4 linked regions of the Schizosaccharomyces pombe genome follow. Changing the gene in region 1 together with any one later gene gives a genetic interaction. Each region holds a gene or a part of one and is shown on either strand. Other genes may lie near its edges. The genes, in order: pku80, ppk8, ccq1 and ftm6.

What was found.
Region 2: mutations in pku80 (region 1) and ppk8 together harm fitness less than expected from each alone (positive genetic interaction), as found in Schizosaccharomyces pombe (one large-scale study listed by BioGRID).
Region 3: mutations in pku80 (region 1) and ccq1 together harm fitness more than expected from each alone (negative genetic interaction), as found in Schizosaccharomyces pombe (one large-scale study listed by BioGRID).
Region 4: mutations in pku80 (region 1) and ftm6 together harm fitness more than expected from each alone (negative genetic interaction), as found in Schizosaccharomyces pombe (one large-scale study listed by BioGRID).

The regions. Positions count from the first base shown.
Region 1 is NC_003423.3:4,302,518-4,307,196, forward strand, and holds pku80 (Ku domain protein Pku80 ), read right to left. Parts: upstream 2,886-4,679; 5' UTR 2,851-2,885; coding exon 2,722-2,850; intron 2,678-2,721; coding exon 2,623-2,677; intron 2,568-2,622; coding exon 2,501-2,567; intron 2,461-2,500; coding exon 624-2,460; 3' UTR 506-623; downstream 1-505. Other genes in the region: SPOM_SPBC543.02C (TPR domain protein, DNAJC7 family), read right to left, coding at 1-98; Npr2/3 complex subunit Npr3, read left to right, coding at 3,512-4,575, 4,641-4,679. UniProt on the Schizosaccharomyces pombe protein: Single-stranded DNA-dependent ATP-dependent helicase. Involved in non-homologous end joining (NHEJ) DNA double strand break repair. DNA-binding is sequence-independent but has a high affinity to nicks in double-stranded DNA and to the ends of duplex DNA.
Region 2 is NC_003424.3:747,512-752,405, reverse strand, and holds ppk8 (serine/threonine protein kinase Ppk8), read right to left. Parts: upstream 2,925-4,894; 5' UTR 2,477-2,924; coding exon 2,411-2,476; intron 2,294-2,410; coding exon 818-2,293; 3' UTR 734-817; coding exon of another isoform or gene 606-733; 3' UTR 567-605; downstream 1-566. Other genes in the region: nucleoporin Nup45, read left to right, coding at 1-63, 110-218, 275-566, 606-733; ime4 (mRNA (2'-O-methyladenosine-N(6)-)-methyltransferase), read left to right, coding at 4,004-4,894.
Region 3 is NC_003421.2:1,484,124-1,489,178, reverse strand, and holds ccq1 (shelterin complex HEAT repeat subunit Ccq1), read right to left. Parts: upstream 3,040-5,055; 5' UTR 2,877-3,039; coding exon 669-2,876; 3' UTR 501-668; downstream 1-500. Other genes in the region: ubiquitin hydrolase Ubp5, read left to right, coding at 1-245; signal recognition particle subunit Srp54, read left to right, coding at 4,043-4,120, 4,601-5,055. UniProt on the Schizosaccharomyces pombe protein: Component of the meiotic bouquet that facilitates meiotic nuclear reorganization of the telomeres to the centrosome. Links telomeres to the meiotic centrosome component pcp1. Essential for the formation of normal telomere clusters during meiotic prophase.
Region 4 is NC_003423.3:8,993-11,858, reverse strand, and holds ftm6 (transmembrane helix domain-containing protein), read right to left. Parts: upstream 1,291-2,866; coding exon 850-1,290; 3' UTR 508-849; downstream 1-507. Other genes in the region: ftm5 (transmembrane helix domain-containing protein), read right to left, coding at 2,845-2,866.

The sequences.
Region 1 (4,679 bases):
AAAGCGTTTCCTATAGCCTTTTGCTTTTCAGCTAGCTCAGCAGGCTCTTGTTGGCTCTCTGTACCTGCATTCATGTGTGTGGTTTCGACTTCAGTCATTTTGATCGAATTAATTTAAATATTTAAAAAATTTAAATTTTATTTAAAATGACAGAAAGTTCAGGAACGCTTTCCAATCGCCGAAGCGTAACAGATCAAAAAGTCAGTGGTAGGTAAATAGATACGACCAAACTATTAAATTTTAGTATCACTAATAAGGAACACTGCTGTAGCTCCTTAAGCATGTCCCCGATATTTGTCCAATTCGTGAAAGTAAGTCTAAAATGTTCTTTGAATAATGTAATTGTGAAAGATAGAATATAAATAAAAAAATGCAAGGAACTCTCACCAAGTTTTTAAACGATAGTTGTGTTTTCTGAAATATCATAGGTATGTTTACCTAAACTACTTAAGTTAAAACTATTTTCTATTTTTGCGACCGTGTATTCTATATGCTAATAAATAGCGGATTCATGACTTAAAAATTTTTATTAGAAATTTGGATAAAAGTAAAAAAAATATTGCAAGTATTTAATAAAATTTATTTATTTATGTTCGAGTAAGACAAGTCATTGTTGTCCTATGCTAAATGTTATTAAAATTATCATGTCTAGTCAATTCATCATGGAGAATAATATCTAATCCAGATGATCTTATTTTGTTAATAAGCTCATTCTCCTTGGGTTTGTTATTTTGCATTACGTCCTTTTTCAATCGAGTAAGATACTCATTAAATCTTTCAACTTCGTCTTCCAAAATTGAGTGTAACCTGAGAGATTGCAATGACTGCAAAGCAAGATCGTACTTAGACTTGTCAATAAGATTTTTAATTACTTTTTCCATTTCTGTCAAAGCATCCTCTAGTCCAAAAGGGTTTTTCAAAACTTCAGTGAAAGTGCCTACTGGGTCTTTTTCACTAACGTGAAGGACTAATAATTTTTCTCCTTCCTGTTCATCGAGACCAGAATTTAGTAGTTCTTCTATTTGTTCCTCTGATATTGGGGCGCCTGTGTCGAAGGCTGTTTCTTGAGAAGAATATTTTGGTTTGACGGGGACGTTCACTGTAAGTTTTTCCTTAATCAACTTCAAGTCCAAAATGCAATTATCAAGTAAACTTTTTGGAGGATTGGTGTAACGTGTTAAGTAAATATTTGGTTGAGGAAGATCGCCTTCTGGTGAATTTGCATAATAACTGATAGCTTGTTGAAGTCTATGTGGTATCATACTAAAGGTATTTTCGGGCTCAAAAGGAGGATTGAACCCACAATCAGAGGAATCTAAATCCATATTATCGATATAATTACTTACGGCAAAATCAATTTGTCGCATATCCTCTTCATTTGACAGTTTCTCGAACTCTGAGAAAGAATAAGGCCGAACATCTTCAGCGAATGGAAGTTGTATATCAACCAAGTAATGTCTTTTAAACTCCACGTAAGGCATCAAGACCAGCAAAACTGGTACGCCCTTATCTTTAGAAACAAACCTTGCGAGCGCATATCGGTGTTCACGTTCAAGGGATTGAACAAAGGCAGAAAAATTTAATTTGCTTTCGAAGTCATCTTTTGGAACGATTATATTAGTATCACTAATGGTATAATAAATTGGAAGACTAGATTTAGGAATAAATCCAAGGATTTCATAACCGGGTATTGTATCTAAAGCCAATACGTCTTCATCTGATCGGCTGATCGGGACGATTGTCCTACCATAACTATAACCGCTTTCCAAGTCTTCTCTTTTAACCTCAAAAGAATCGTTTGTTTTTGGATCACGAACCATGTACGATCGAACAGTAGACACTGCATCAGATTCCATACTTTTGTTTTCCACATTTGAATTTTCGATATTAAGACATTCATAATTTTTAGACATATCGTTTTCATAAAAAGCAGATGATGTTGGCGGTTTAGTTAAACGAGTTCTAGGATATCTTTCAACCTGTATGCTTATAGACGTATCTTTGCTGTCTCTATTACCAATACTAAATGTACCTCTAAAGATTGCGACAGGTCTCACTTTACGAACCCAAGGTTTACCGATGTTGTTATAAATCTGTTGAAATGTGCAGTACTGACCATGACAACTCTCAACAAACTCTTGAATTCGAACTTCGTTTTCCTTTTTCTGAGATTCCTTTAAAGGCTCAGAATAATTAATATCTTCTTGATCAAAATCAACTCCATAAACACCTAGAAAAACATCATGCTGCAGTAGTTGTTCGGCAATTCCAATGTAATCACTAAAGTCGATAATCCCCCTAGCTGCCGTAAGCACTATCATCTTCTTCTTCCATTTGTTCTTTTTACAATGCCGAGCCATCAAATCAAAGGACACAACTATTGCAGATATCAGATCGCCTTGCATAGTATTGCTTGGTTTTAACGTTTGAGAAACGGATTGTAGCTTTGAAAATAAGGCACTAGTTAAGAAGTTAATGGAGCATTTAAGAGAAAGCTTACGTTTGTATAGGATACAAAACACTGATATTCCAATAGGCTTCCTGCTCAGCTAAATCATTTTTCGTATCTAAACACCGTAAAAGTTAGAAGTAGTGTACCTTTAAAACATTACAATAGAATACCATCGCATTTGTAACCAACGATTCCAACTACGTCTGTCTTCCTATTTGCTAAAAACTGAGTATGTGTCAATAGGGTGTCGATAATGTTGAGCAAAATACCTTATGAGACAATTCGTCGTGAAAATACGACAAAGTCCATTCGAGATCAGAATGAGACCTGCCATGGTGACAGGTCCCCATATCTTTGCCCAAGTCAAGTACAAAAACAGTACATTCCTTATCACTCATACGAATTGTTAAGGAATACAGATTTGGTGGAGGTCAAAGCAAGGTGAGATTTGTTGTAGAACATTGGGGCCTCCGATGCTTTCAACAGTTAGATATCAATTACACGGTCATTTTAAATGATTCAGGTATTTTCTTCGCGGTATGAATATACTACATTAACAGTAAGTCCAGCAGCATATGTGCAAATGCACATGTGACTGAAATGTAAATAACCCAAAACATTGTATATAAATTAGTCAATTCATTTTTATAACTTAAATCAGAAACTCTTGAGAATTGAATTGGAGCTATTAAAGTTGCTAAGGTTTTACGCACATTAGAAATTTTGCATAGCGATGCTTTTACTTTCAATTCACACATTAATTTACAAAGCCGTGAACTCATATCTCAAGATGTCAATAATTAGTTAACATTCAGTTTAACTATTCATGTTAGATCTTATTAGTTTTGTACTAGGCGATTAAAACACCGAGCTGCCAGATGCATATCGCTCACAAATCTTTCGTACTACACGCAAATTACCAGAAAACGATACCACCCCCTTGAGGTATAATGTTTAAGGTGATATTTGGTTTTCTGTTGTGAAAAATATATTAAAAAACACACATATGTACTTCAATTATCGAACATACACATTTATACTTTGTTTTAAAACGCCAAAATGGTACGCTTAACTCCTCGATTAGTAGCCATTTTCCTTGTTGAAAAAACAACATCAGGAGCTAATTTCGTCTTTCACTGGCCGCTACAACCTCAAGTACGTCTACAAGCCACTCATCATAATAATGATTCAGCGGAGTCTGCAATCGGGATGCTCGACCTTGATGACAGCGATGATGATGAGAATAATAGGTTTACTGAAGTAGCTGACGATACACATGTACTTGGTTATGAAAAAGGCTTTCTCGCAAATATGCTAAGTCCTCGTATTGAACTTTGCAATCAAAAATTTGAAATTTGGGTGGATGGTCTTACTTTTTTGGGATGTCCTGTTCATATTGGTCCGAACGGTGAGTGGGCTAAACGAAGGAAACCACGAACTACTGTTGAGTCTAATGCTTCTTCGAGCCATTTGGTATCAAAGCCCGAATCTTCACACCCTTCGACAGGAAGTTTTGAAGTAAAATCATCTTCATCAAAATCGAGATCTTCAATGTCTTTATTTCATGTCGTCTTTGTATTAAATGTGCCTACAGCTACCGTATATCGCCCTACTGTAAACACGATGTATGATCATATAGTAGTCAAGTTAGTTACTGGACTTAAATATGAACAAGCAAAACGGAATTATGTTGAAAATGAGTGTATACACATCTTAAAACTGACTGAAAAATATTCAAGCCAAAACGTCCCATTCGATGTGTATGCCGCTCAAATCCCTCATCACTCAAATCTTGCTTCGGTTCTTGCTACTACATATGAGGCTTTAATTAACATGCATACGGCTTATTTAGAGATAAATCAATCGATTAACTTAAGCTTACTCTGGCCTATGTCGGTTTCCACCAACACACTTGAAAATTACGAACTGCAGGTTAGACCATCAACTATTTTAGCATCTCAAACCATCTTCTCTGAAGAACATCCTTCCTCTATTGAACCTTTCGTTGCCCCCTATTGGACTTTGTTGCTCTTAAAGGATACAGACACTATAATGAAACGTGTTCCTCTTTTACAAAATTCTCTTCTTTCTTCTTTCATTGCCATAGTAAAACCTAACTTAACGTAAGTTTTGTCAAGTCTAAACAAAATTTATTATTGCTATTAAATACTAACTTACAATATTTCAGGTTCACAGATATCGCTAATCGTCTAGGAATATCAGTATC
Region 2 (4,894 bases), on another chromosome or scaffold:
TAATGCAACGACGAGATACTCGAGCTTAAACGCTAATACTCAAAAATTTTTAGATGACTTAGAGTATGTGTTACCTTATGTACAAAATTTGTTCTAATCATGTCCGTAGCAAAGAAATTTTTAGCCAAATCCAACTTGCAGAGGAACTACAAACTAAGTTGGGGACTGTTTCCGAATTGGTTGAATCCGTCCCTAATGATGTCGCTGAAGTACAGAGAGTGAGTTATTTCCTTCTATTATCTCCAAGTTTTATTTGTTTCTAACTAAAATAAAGCGTTTATCTTCTGTCTCGACTGCACTTTTAATTGATTCCGACGAAATTGAAACTACGAAGCGTGTAGTTGACGAAGATACTTCGAATGCTCGCATTAGTTCACGTATTTTGGACGTTTTTAAAACACCTGGCGCAACCTATCCCTTCGCGTCAAACGATCCCCTAATGAACTACTTTGAGCAATTTACAGAAAACGCTAAGAAACGTACAGATCTGTATGCTGCCACTATTGGTGAACTTGAACAACATTTGGAGCAAGTTGAGACTACGCCACAGAATAATAGTCCCGAGGGTATGCCTTTAATTTGTAAAACTTGTATTAACTATCTAGCATTACTGAAAACTATCAAAGAGGAGCACAAATTATTCATGGCTCTTAGTAATAGATTTGCTCAAGTTCACGATGAAGTAAAGCGTCTACAAGTGAACACTTCAACGTCCTTGCCCTTTATAAGTTAATAGCGATCATTAAAGGGACTTCATAATCCTTAACATCATAAAAAAAATAAATAGATAAAAATCTCTAAAGTAGACAAATTCTCCTTAGATTAGAGTTTTCCGAACTTGTTGCATCCATGTAGTGCTTCGTGCTCCCGAAATGCTACATCTTGTATTAAAATCAATGTCCAGCATATGATAAATCGTATCTCTTGAGTTCATCGGTAAAGATTCTATCAATTGGCTTTTCGTGTTAGGGTCATTTCGTTGAGTAACGTATAAATTAAAACGTTTATCCGATGTATGCGGCACTTTCCATGGAAATCTCTTTAAAGCAATACAACAGTAAACAATTGCACAAGACCAAACATCTACAGCGCTCGGATCATATGGTTTCTGAGTAAGAACTTCGGGAGCAACATATGGTTTTGAACCGACTACACCATCAGACATCAGAGTGGTTGATTCAAATGGATAATGAAAAACAAAAGCAGTACCAAAATCAATAATCTTAACATTTAAATTTTCATCGAGCATAATATTATCTAATTTTATATCACGATGAGCAATGCCAAGGGAATGCATATAAGCCACGCCATCTAACAATTGAAAAAACATTTGATCAGCTTTTAAAGCAGAGCAATGACCTTTGGTAATAAAGGTAAAAAGATCATAAGGAACATACTCAATTATTTGTAAAATAGTATGCCTTTTGTATATAATGTCTAATACCTTGATGATATTGGGATGCCTGAGTGTCGACGCAAAAGTGTACTCTGCAATGAAATAACGTACATACCTGCGCAGTAATGAGGTATCTAATGGAGGACGAAATACTTTGGCAACGTAAATTGGCAATTTGTTTCGATCATTAATGACCCGAATGAAAGAGCTCGCTCCCTCCCCAATGACATTATTTAACTTTCCATAAGGTGTATCAGTTACGGAACATTCCGGGTTTACAACTCTCTTTCTTGATCTCGGGTTGATTCTCTTAAAGATGCTAGCATTGCTACCAGTTACTTTGTGTTTCAGCAATTTTCGAAGATCAGAAGTATGATTGTAGCAAGCAATAGGCGCCAGAGCGAAGCCGGAGTTCCGTTTTTTTATAAAATTGTCGTTTCCGTTCGGAAGGATATTAATTCTGATCTTCATCTTATCATACATGCTACTATAAAATGATTTAGACTTCTTTTTAAAGTGAAACTGAGGTGGGATATCGTTTGGATCAGAAGATGGATTTTTTCGATAAAGTCTGCTATATGGATTACCACCATTTATGCCATCATTAAGGGTAGCAAATTTCGATTCTGTGGAAGATGACTCTTCCGACATAGATGTTAAAGTGCTTGATAGTGATGAGTGAGTAGTCGATAATTCCTGTAAGCTATGAGCATGATCGAGAAGGTAATCAGATTTATCGCTCTCTTCACTCTCAATGGAGTTGGTAAATGAAATCACAAAGTTTTCGGGTAAAGTTGTAGATGCCGTTAATAATAAGCTACTTCGAGAATATTTAATGTAGGGGTATGAACGGACGGGCTTTAAGTAATTCGAAATAACTTGATCATCCTGTTTATTCTAATATCATTAGTTAGCGTACACCATATTTGAATATTTAGAAAAATAAGGATTTTTTTCTATTCTTTTTTTTAAAGAAAAAAAGATAACTAAAAAAATTAAAGGCAGAAAACATACCGAGGTTAATTCCAATGAATCTGTGCAAAATAAATTATTAGAGTTCTCTTCCGTGATCACAGCCATTGCTCTAAGAATTGTGATTGTAAAAGCTTCTTTCCAAAAAAAAAGTAAAAAAGATATATTAATGAATTAAGTGATAATTAAGGAGAATAAATAAAACGAATCCAGAAATTAAGTGAAACCGATTATAATGACGGGAAAGAAAATCAAACAAATACCGCTTCCCTGATAATGACTGACAAGAAATAAAATAAACACCGCAAATAAGTAAACAACCAAAAAAATTGTAATCGCGCAATGTCTATGCAATACAAGCAAAATAAAAAAATGTTTAACTAAAACGAAGCGAAACGATTATGCATCCCAATGTCGATCCTGATCGCAAAAAAAATTGGTAACGACAATTCCCAATTTAGTAATGTTTATATAGCAAATCTCACGAGCCGAATAGGTTCATCTAATAAATGTCCGAGGAGATAAACCGGAGTTGGTTCGATGAGGAAATTAATGTGAATAAAATATGGTTCCACGTTTCGATATATATTAACGTCGAAAGCAAATACCGTAGAATGCCGGACTGCGTTGTTTTTTTTAAAAATTCATAAACTCCAATGCCAAAATGTTCTATAGAATCGGCAAACTAAAATTTAAGATCGAATTGAACATAAAAACGAAGCGTATTTATATACTGATTGCAGGTCCTTTGCTTGAATCCTATCAATAAATTGTATGATGCTATCTCGTCAAAAAAGTAATGGCTTTATAATAGTGTGGTTATCATTTTGTGAAAACATTACGCCATTAACTGCTTATTTATTTACGCTCCGATTTTTGCAGATTCCTATCCTAACGATCTTTATGATGCTTGTTATTAAATATATTTAGTCATCACCAGCAATTGCTTACTTGATAGTGGAGACGTTAAGGCGAGATAAGGTAGGTGTGTATTTGTAAGACTAAGCATATCGTTTTCCTTATGTAATTAATATTTCGTACTGGCAGCATATAAATTTGTTACCATTTTGAAGGCTGACTAACCACAAAACATTGGTTTTTGCAAGCTATGAATGCTTTGATTACCTAATTCGTTCAATAGAAAAATTTGTACTTCTTAATAGCTTGGATTTTTTATATCGTTCAATGTTATTGTGGGGAGTATCGAAAATCGCACACCAATGTTTCCGTATTAGTTTGAAAGAACTACGTTAACTAGATTCGGTTTTCGTAAATTAGTTTTAAAAAATATCATTAAATGGAAGTTTTTAAAATATCAATAGAGATTTGTTGTTTCAATATTTGGTATTAAGCATAATAAGTTTAACTGCACTCCAGTTGATGGGTACGACGAAACCTATCGAGTAACTTTCGATAAAGTATACACGTTTGTCACGCGTCGAGAGCGGTATTTTCAATTATTCTTATCCGACTGAATTTAATTAACTCAACTCGCTACTTCTTATTTTGAGTTGAGCGCACATAAGCTATTTTTTGAGCTACTAATTTAATAGATTGCTATAACGAAATTCAGCGGTGTCCTTGTGCATTTCATTTATCACGATTGTTTGAGGTTCGGTATTCGTGTAATTTTTAATGCCATGTATATTATACATGGACGACACTAGTTGTCTCATTGACTTGCCAACATCTCTGCAATTTAATAAACATATTTTGCCCACTCGAACGAAGCCTGTCGTGAAGCCATATTTACTCCCCGAAAAATCAACTTCGGATTATGAAAACAGTGGCAAAGGCACTGTAGGGCAAGTACTGCAAAGCCTTCAGCGAGTTCGTCGTGCTTTACAGTTGCGCAGTTTGGATGACAATCAATCAACCGATAAATCACACCATGTTCAATTTCAAGATATCGTATACAGGTCAAATACTAGTGCATCAGAAATCCATTTTCAAGCTGAAAATGCTCCTTTAGTGCAATGGTACTCAGACATTTTCAAAGTACTAGTTAAAGCACCGGTTATACAGTTTGAGGATCAGTGCTTGCAATGGTTGAAAATGTTGAATACTATTCCACCGTCATATTCATTTATAACTATAAAGTCTAAAGATACAGTTGAACTTGGATTGGAAGAGATTTATCAACAATGTGTCCAAAATGATGGAGCGTCCGCTATAAAATTAAAGCTGAAGGGATCAAAGGTTATTACTGAATCGTCTGAAACTAATTGTAGGGATTCAATTTACTACATCCCTGCTCGTTCCTCTTTTATTATGGGTGACGTGGAGAAAACTGCGCAAATCCTTTTAGAAGCAATTGATGGCCATCTAGAAAAACCCAAATGCATAATTATAGACCCTCCATGGCCGAATAAATCTGTAGCTAGGAGCTCTGTCTATAAGGTGAACAGGAACCTTGGATATTTAAAAGCATTACCAATTCAGGAATCGTTAAGCAAAACCGGCGTCGTGGCAGTTTGGTGCACAAATAAGGAAAAGTATGTAAATTTTGTTAAAAAAGTGCTTTTT
Region 3 (5,055 bases), on another chromosome or scaffold:
CCCAGGAAAAATTCATCGATACAAAACTACGTCTTGCAGCTCGCACACAGTATCCAGAAAGCATTTTCAGCGTTATTAAATTCTGTGTGGTGGATTTTGATAACAATAGAGTTGTCTATTTGAATGATGAAGACATTACATATGATGTTGTTGAAAAACTAAACGGTACATTGGCTTTGGATCGTGCTAAGAAAGATAGTAAGAAGCCGAATATACTCGACCGTGCTATTCAGATGAAAAATTAGTATTTAAAGGCTTTACAATCCTTGCTGGTTGTTTGGTCCTTACCTGTTGAGCATAAGGTGCATGAAGTTTTATACAGGTTCGATATTGCGAGCATAACAAAATGATATGAAGCATAAAAAATTATTTCATCAATGTTGATATTGCATCTTTTGAGGATGCATATTCGAATTTGATACAATTAAAATCTTTCAAAAACAAATTCAAAATTAATGACATAGATCATTGAATCTAGTATGTAACGAAATGTCTAACTTCTTGATGAATATATGAAGAAAACCAATATATTTTTGCAACTGTTGAAAAATTAATACAATTAAAATTGTTTCATTAAAAGCTGATTACGACATAATTTAATCAAATAACCGTATGACTAAACGAACTTTTTATAGTTGATTCCACTGAAGTTCTTGATCGTTAATGATTTAGTTAGAATCAATAATCCTTGGTGATTGATTATGTGGAGTAAATTTGGGAAGAGACTTCTGCTCTAAAATTTTTAAGGTCTCCTCCAGAGAAGAGACCTTAGCGAGTAATGCTTCTACCCTTGAATCATTATAAACTTTTACCTCTTCCATAACTTTAGAATTTATAGCTTGTAAGCGCTTACATTCAGCTTGAAGTTTCGCAACCTCTTTGCTTTGCTCAGCAGCAAAAGTAGATGCATTTTGATATTGATTAGTAATGAAATCAGCGTCTTCTTTCTGTGTTTTTAACAGTTGAGTAAGTTTGTAATTTTTTTCGTTGGCTTCAATTAATTTGCCTTGTAGATCTTCATTCGAAAATTCTTGTACATATTTAAAGCCAAATTCTTGTTGCTTAGCTAAGTGGGTAAGCTCTTTTTTAAGGTTTGCGATTTCTTCAACCTTCTCAACTTCTAGCTTTGAAAGGTCTTCATTCTTTTTCTTCGATTTCTCCAAATCCAGCTTGAGCTCTCGAACAGTGTTTCTGTATTCTTGTAAATTATCCGTCAGCTTAGAAATTTGCTGCTCCAACTCCTCTGAGCGACTTTGTTGTACGTTTTTGGAATTAATGGCTTCGTGTAATTCATCTTCTACCATTCTTAAACGACGCTGCAGGTATTGGACAGCTGCACCTTGGAGATCATAATTATTGGAAAGTTCTACCTCATCAGCTTCCTGTTGAGAAAAAAAGTTTTTCTTTAGTGAGCTTGATGACAGTAAATCGGTGGCATTACTTGTTAAAGAGTGGAGTTTGGAAGGTGATTGCATGCTTTGCGACGAAGGAAATGTACTATCAGATGATTTGACAAAAGTATCGTTCACCTGAGAAACAGAAGGCTGAGAATCCCTTGGTTCTGCAACCGATAAGCTTGCTAAATCCATTAGAGGAGGTAGTGGCCAAGAAGAGAAGTTTTCTCCATTTTTTAACCAGGTCGCAACATTTTTAGCAATATCTCGAGTTTTTTCTGTAATAGAAGAGTGAGATTCTGAGCCTAGGATTTCCTCAAAGTTCCCAGATTTCTCAAACAAAGTGCTCAAATTTGAAGCTTCTGAATTTTCCTCGGAAGAAGAACTAAGAGTGGCAACCACACCCACAATGTTCACTAAAAATGAGGCATTGTAAGATGATTGAAAACATTTTATGGCATGTTCTATAGATCCCAAGTGAATGAGCCTAAGGACAAGGCTTTGAATAGAGGGCAAGGAACTAGTGACACTCATGTATGCTTCGATATCATAAAAAATGGTTGCACTCAAATCTGGGCAAGATTGAAGAAAATGAGAAGCGGAGGGAGCCTTTTTGGACACACAAATCCAAATTGCTGGATGTTGGCTAGTCTTTGCATCCTCTTCAGCCCATAACTCAGCATCAATGTTTTGAGATTTTAGCCATTGAGTAAGTGTGTTTGCAAGAAATTGGTTGGAGATAAATAAAAAAAATGTCTTAGAATAAGAGGGGGAAAGATTTTTGAATAATTCTTGCAAAAAAAGAAATTTTGAAGAATTTTCGGCATATGAAGAGAAATTAGAAGCATCTAAAGAAACGTGGGAATTAGTGGATTCAGCAGCGGAGGGATTTCGAACTTCAGTATCATACAGACTAGGATGCTTTGCAATGTTATGAGCAGATTGAATAAAAAGACGTATTTTTTCTTGGATTCTTGAATCGCTAGGACCAGTACAAAAATGGTCAATACAAAAGGCAAAGTATTGAACCAACCGATGCATCATTTTCCTTTGAAGCGCAGACATTGGAAGGCCAATATCTAGCACGCTGAACGAGGATTTAGAAGATTTAGTAATAGATTCTTCCGAAGAATCAAAGGCAGTGTCATTTTGCAAAGGAATAGGAAATAACTGCTGGGTAGAAGGGAATTCATCGACCTCTTGAGTTAAAAAGTCATTTTCAGAGTGATCCAAATCAGTCCGTAAAAATTTTTCTATCTCTCTTTGTTTGGATGCAGGTTCTTCATTACGCATGCAACTTAGAGGCTCTTCCAATTTTCTCTTATGGCCTGCTAATTTTAGAAGCCATACATCTTCCAACGGGCTAGGGCAATCCTCTTTGGCAATCCATCTATTACTGGAATTCACCTCAGAGTAAACCTCGTATTTCGTATCACTTTCATTGATAATAATTGAATTCGTAAAGTCGTTAATTTCGCTCATACTGCCATCCACGTTAAAATTCAACAAGAAATTGAATGTTTAAATATTGCAACACGAGACCAATTTAGCGTCCGAAAAGAAATAATTTTCGCACGTTTAGAGGAATTAGATGGTCTAAAAAGAGTCTTTTATTATCGTTTTTACAAATAACCACCCAAATGTTGTTCCCAGAATTCCGTGTTCGCCTTTAAATTTGTACATATTTTTACGAAATACACTGTGTAGCGGAAAATGTTTACAGCATTTAAAAGAGCTCTAATTACTTTTTTTCATATAACAAATCTTTATTTTAATAAAGTAACGCGTCACCTCTCTATTTAAGTCTATTATGTAAACAAATATAACTATTCACCCATAACGCGTAGTAAATGTTATTTCTTTTTCAAATTTTGTGTTAAGGGGTTAACGATTCTTTATCTTTAGTCTTATATTGAAAAAACAGCTAATTGCAATTCATTCTGGCTCTTATAAGGACTTGGAAGTGCTTTCCTTCGTGAAGTTTGGAAAAACTGGATCTTAAGACTAATTGCTGGATTAACGCACGAAAAATTCCAAAAAAGTTTAAGGTGAATAAGAACATACGCCTGAAAAATATATAAAAAGTTTCAAATATCAATCTTTTAGATCTTTTTCTATTAGCGTCTTAAAACACAAACTACAGCAAGTATGAATCAAAAGATTGTGGGACAAAGTTAGCCACCACGGAATTTACGATTCGTGTTTCTATTACAAATGTGAGAAAGAGAAGCATCAATAATTGTCAGGACCTAGTCAAACACTTTTACACATGAGTATAATCTTAATAAGTATTTTATTTTTTAAGATTATACCTACTGAACTTTTGCTATAGATTAATTCTAAAATATTATACAAACAAGGTATTATATAGGAATGCTGTGCTGCGCTATCCTGTCGATATATCACCTATACTGAAAACAATAAAAAGCTTGCAGGCGAAATAACTCGGTATTAAACTCAGTGAAAATATTTTTTAAAAAGATAATATCAAACTCTTCTTTACTTCATCTTTAGGCATTTATCATATTGCCTCAATTGTCTATTGACTTTTCGCTTGAAGACACTGCATGTCCTTAACGACTTCATCCTCTACCAACCACATTTGACGAACTTCAAATTGCCTGGTTGGAAGTTTTTAATCTGACAAAATGGTTTTTGCAGATTTAGGGCGTCGTTTGAACTCTGCGTTAGGGGACTTTTCTAAGGCCACTTCAGTGAATGAAGAGGTATGTTTTATTCTATCGAAAATTTGTTCTCATACGGAGAGTGAGCCATGTCATTTATAAAAATATTTAATACATCTTTGCTTGATTTCTTCAAAAATTTTGCATTTGCCATGTTTTACACGCTGTATATGAACATCGTTTCATGCTTTACGAAATTTGTCGATAAGAAAAATCATCTACCACAGATATGCTTTTCTAGTTGCGTAGCTGGTTTATCCAATCTCTTATATATATATATCTTGATTGCATATTGGGATTATCTTCGTTTACATCGACGTTACCTTGACATGAAAATTTAAAACCCTTTTTAATAATGCAATGTTAGATTTTGGTTTCAAGTTACTAAAAGGGTTTACTTACCAAGCAACTTTTAGGCAGCTGAAGATTTTTTTAATGACCTCTAGTTTGTTTTCCCAATGTTCTGTTTTGATTAGGATATCTATCGTTTTAATACGAACCTTTACTAATAATTTTATTTAGCTTGTCGATACTCTGCTGAAAAATATATGTACGGCACTTTTGGAAACAGATGTTAATGTGCGATTGGTTCAAGAATTACGTTCAAATATTAAGAAAAAAATCAATGTATCAACTTTGCCTCAGGGTATAAATGGGAAGCGAATCGTCCAGAAGGCTGTCTTTGATGAACTTTGCAGTTTGGTTGACCCTAAAGTTGATGCTTTTACTCCTAAAAAAGGGAGACCTTCAGTGATCATGATGGTAGGTTTACAAGGCAGTGGTAAAACGACAACATGCTCAAAGCTTGCTCTGCACTACCAAAGGAGAGGTTTGAAATCGTGTTTGGTTGCTGCCGATACTTTCCGTGCTGGTGCTTTTGATCAATTAAAGCAGAATGCTATCAAAGCACGTGTTCCTTACTTTGGTAGTTACACCGAGACTGACCCAGTCGTTATTGCCAAGGAAGGTGTTGATAA
Region 4 (2,866 bases), 4.3 Mb from region 1:
TAGTAAGCGCAAAGTGTATGACTCAATGAAAATCGGGTGTATCAACTACTCAGTTGTTTACCATACAATGTATTGTAAATTATGGGTAGTGTCGTCGCTATTACATTTAAAAAATATATTATATTGAAGGTATCTAATAAGAAGTAAATGTTTTTCTGTGTAATAATAGTGAATTCTTCTCATCAAAAATATAAACGAACTGATTTTTCGTCACCTTATTAGGTTATACAAAGTCATAACAATGCAAAACCAAAGCGGATAGCATATCAAACTAAGAATATGACTTGCTATTAAAAATTAGTTTCGCTTGAGTTTTATTTTAAGAGTAGTAATAGTCAGAATTTATTGTGCTGATACACTTCAACTTACTTGATTAATAATTGAAAAAGAGAAATTTACAATTGAAATTGAAATGGATGGATTTGAAACAAACCATTCGTCAACATCACCGCTACTTTAAAAATGCTACTGTACTTGCGAGTATAACTACACAAAAGTACATATTTAAGCGGTTGCATCAAGTAATGTCATATATAGAAATACAATAATATAAACGGAGCACAAACTGAACCTCGTTCTTGATATATCAAGTCTTCTTTATTGTACCATAATGTTGTATGTCGTTGTGCTATATTTTTTTGTAAGTTACAATCATACTGATTGGCATAGCTTCTGCTTTTAACTTAACGGTGATCAAGCCATATTTGATCAGGTTAGGCAGAATTCCAATGATTGCATTAGAAGGTTTAGATCTTCAAGTCAATTTTACGATTACAAGCAAAGGAGAAATAGCAATCAAGCCAGTATCGAATACTCATTACACGTATATAGCAAGATACTATGGAATTGTTATTGTGATATGAATCTTGATGGTGGATTATTATAGCCCTGGTGCAGATCACTAATATCGGTTTTCGAGTAAGAATGATTCTTGCTTTCTGACCTAGTGACTTTCTCAATAGAGAAAAGTATAATGACTTGAAATTTAGAAAACGTTCTAATGGAGTTAATGGAGTGAGTTCTAATGAAACGAGGAAAAAATTTGTTATGATATACTACGACGCATCCAAATGTAAAGGATCGGAATTTAGATGAAGCCGATGGTACTTCCGAGTAAATGTACCAACAATATAATAAATAAATCAGCAATTTTACTGCTAGACAATATTTCACTGTGAGGCTTAGTCTTGGTATAAATAGAGGGACTCTGTCAAAACAAATATTTTGAACTAGACTCGAATTCTTCATAATTCTATTCACTTGAGTGTTTATTTTTTTTAACAATGCCATTACATTTACGAGATATGTGGATATCCACTGACGATTATAAGGATGTTTTACTTACGTGTCCTGTGTGGTATGAAATTAGTGAAAGAGAATTAAATCATGCTGTTTGGGGACAATATTAAAATGGTGAAGTTATAATGAAACAGTTGTTGGAAGCGATTAGTTTCAAAAATTAGCGACTCGTATTTTGTTTATTATTATTATTATTTTTTCTTTTTTTTTTATTCGCTGTTTTAAAATTGTTTCCAGCAATCTTCTTCCTGTTCTCTTTTTATCCGTTTGACAACACATTTTGCTAATGCTTTTTTTTTTTTTTTAGTTCAAAGAAGACTGGTACGAGAAATAAACAAGTTGAGTAGTTTCGAAAGCAATTGGCTCTTTCTTTTTTTTTTTAAACTTGTCTTATTAATGTTAACATAACATTTTGTTTTTAGTCCGAGTATGTCGTCAGTTGAAAACCGTAACGGTTCTCATTGTGCCTGTTCTTCCGGTTTATACGAATAAGGTAAGAACATTCAAGAAAGCGTTTGATATGAAGTCTGTTCCATTATTGCTCTTAGTGCCTGACAAACGTTGTTAGTCTGTTTTGAGTTTACAAGTTTGTTAAGCTAATAGCCATTCATTGATCTTCATTGTTACATGCTTTCCATGGAATAGTTGGAGGTGTTTACTTTTCAACTTGTTAGCGATCGCTTGCTAACATTTTTAATAATAGGTACTTTGTTGTTCTCAGTGTGACTGGCACGAACCAGCAAATGTTTACTCGATTGAACAAAGGCGTAGTCATGATGATGATCTTCCTACCATTAAGGGTTCTGATGCTAGTACTCAACAGTATGAAAGAAAAACTTATATTACCGATGCTAGTCCCGAATCTCAGAATCTGTTTTTAAGCAAAAGTAAAGAGGAGGGAGTTATCTTCTTATGCATACAAGTAAGCTTTTAACCTTGATTCTATTTATTCACTTTTACCATTTACTACTTTCGCAAATTCCTGTTTTTTGTTGGGGATATGAAGGGGAATATAAGGGTAAAGTAGATGAAATGGATGTATTTGAAAGTTGATTTGGATTCGATTTATTACTTTGAATCCCCGTTTATTATTATACGTTTATGTCGTTTTAAAGAAAACCATGCGATGTACTATATTAATTTTGTAAAATATATATTATAGATAAAAAAATTGTTGGGAAAATGGGAAAGCAAGTTGAAAATAATTAAATTCAATAAATTAGCAAAATATGTTTATGAAGGTAACCAGTTTTTTCTTTTTATTTTTTTTTTGTCTATATGTCAGATTCGCAACTTTTAAGTTTGAACAAAACATTATTTCACATCGACTCAAAGGTTATGTGTATTTAAAACGTTCCAGTAAAAAAATATTCATTTGTAAAAAATAAATAGGTGGTATATTAAATAAGAATGAACTTACTACACAATTTCTGTGTAAAAAAGTGAGATTAAAATAACTGGATATTAATCCATTGATAAACAAATAATAAATAAAATAATCCCGGTAACCCCTTTAAAGGTGAATCAAGTAAACCATGGTTTTTGTCAAATCATTTTCTCTTGAGCC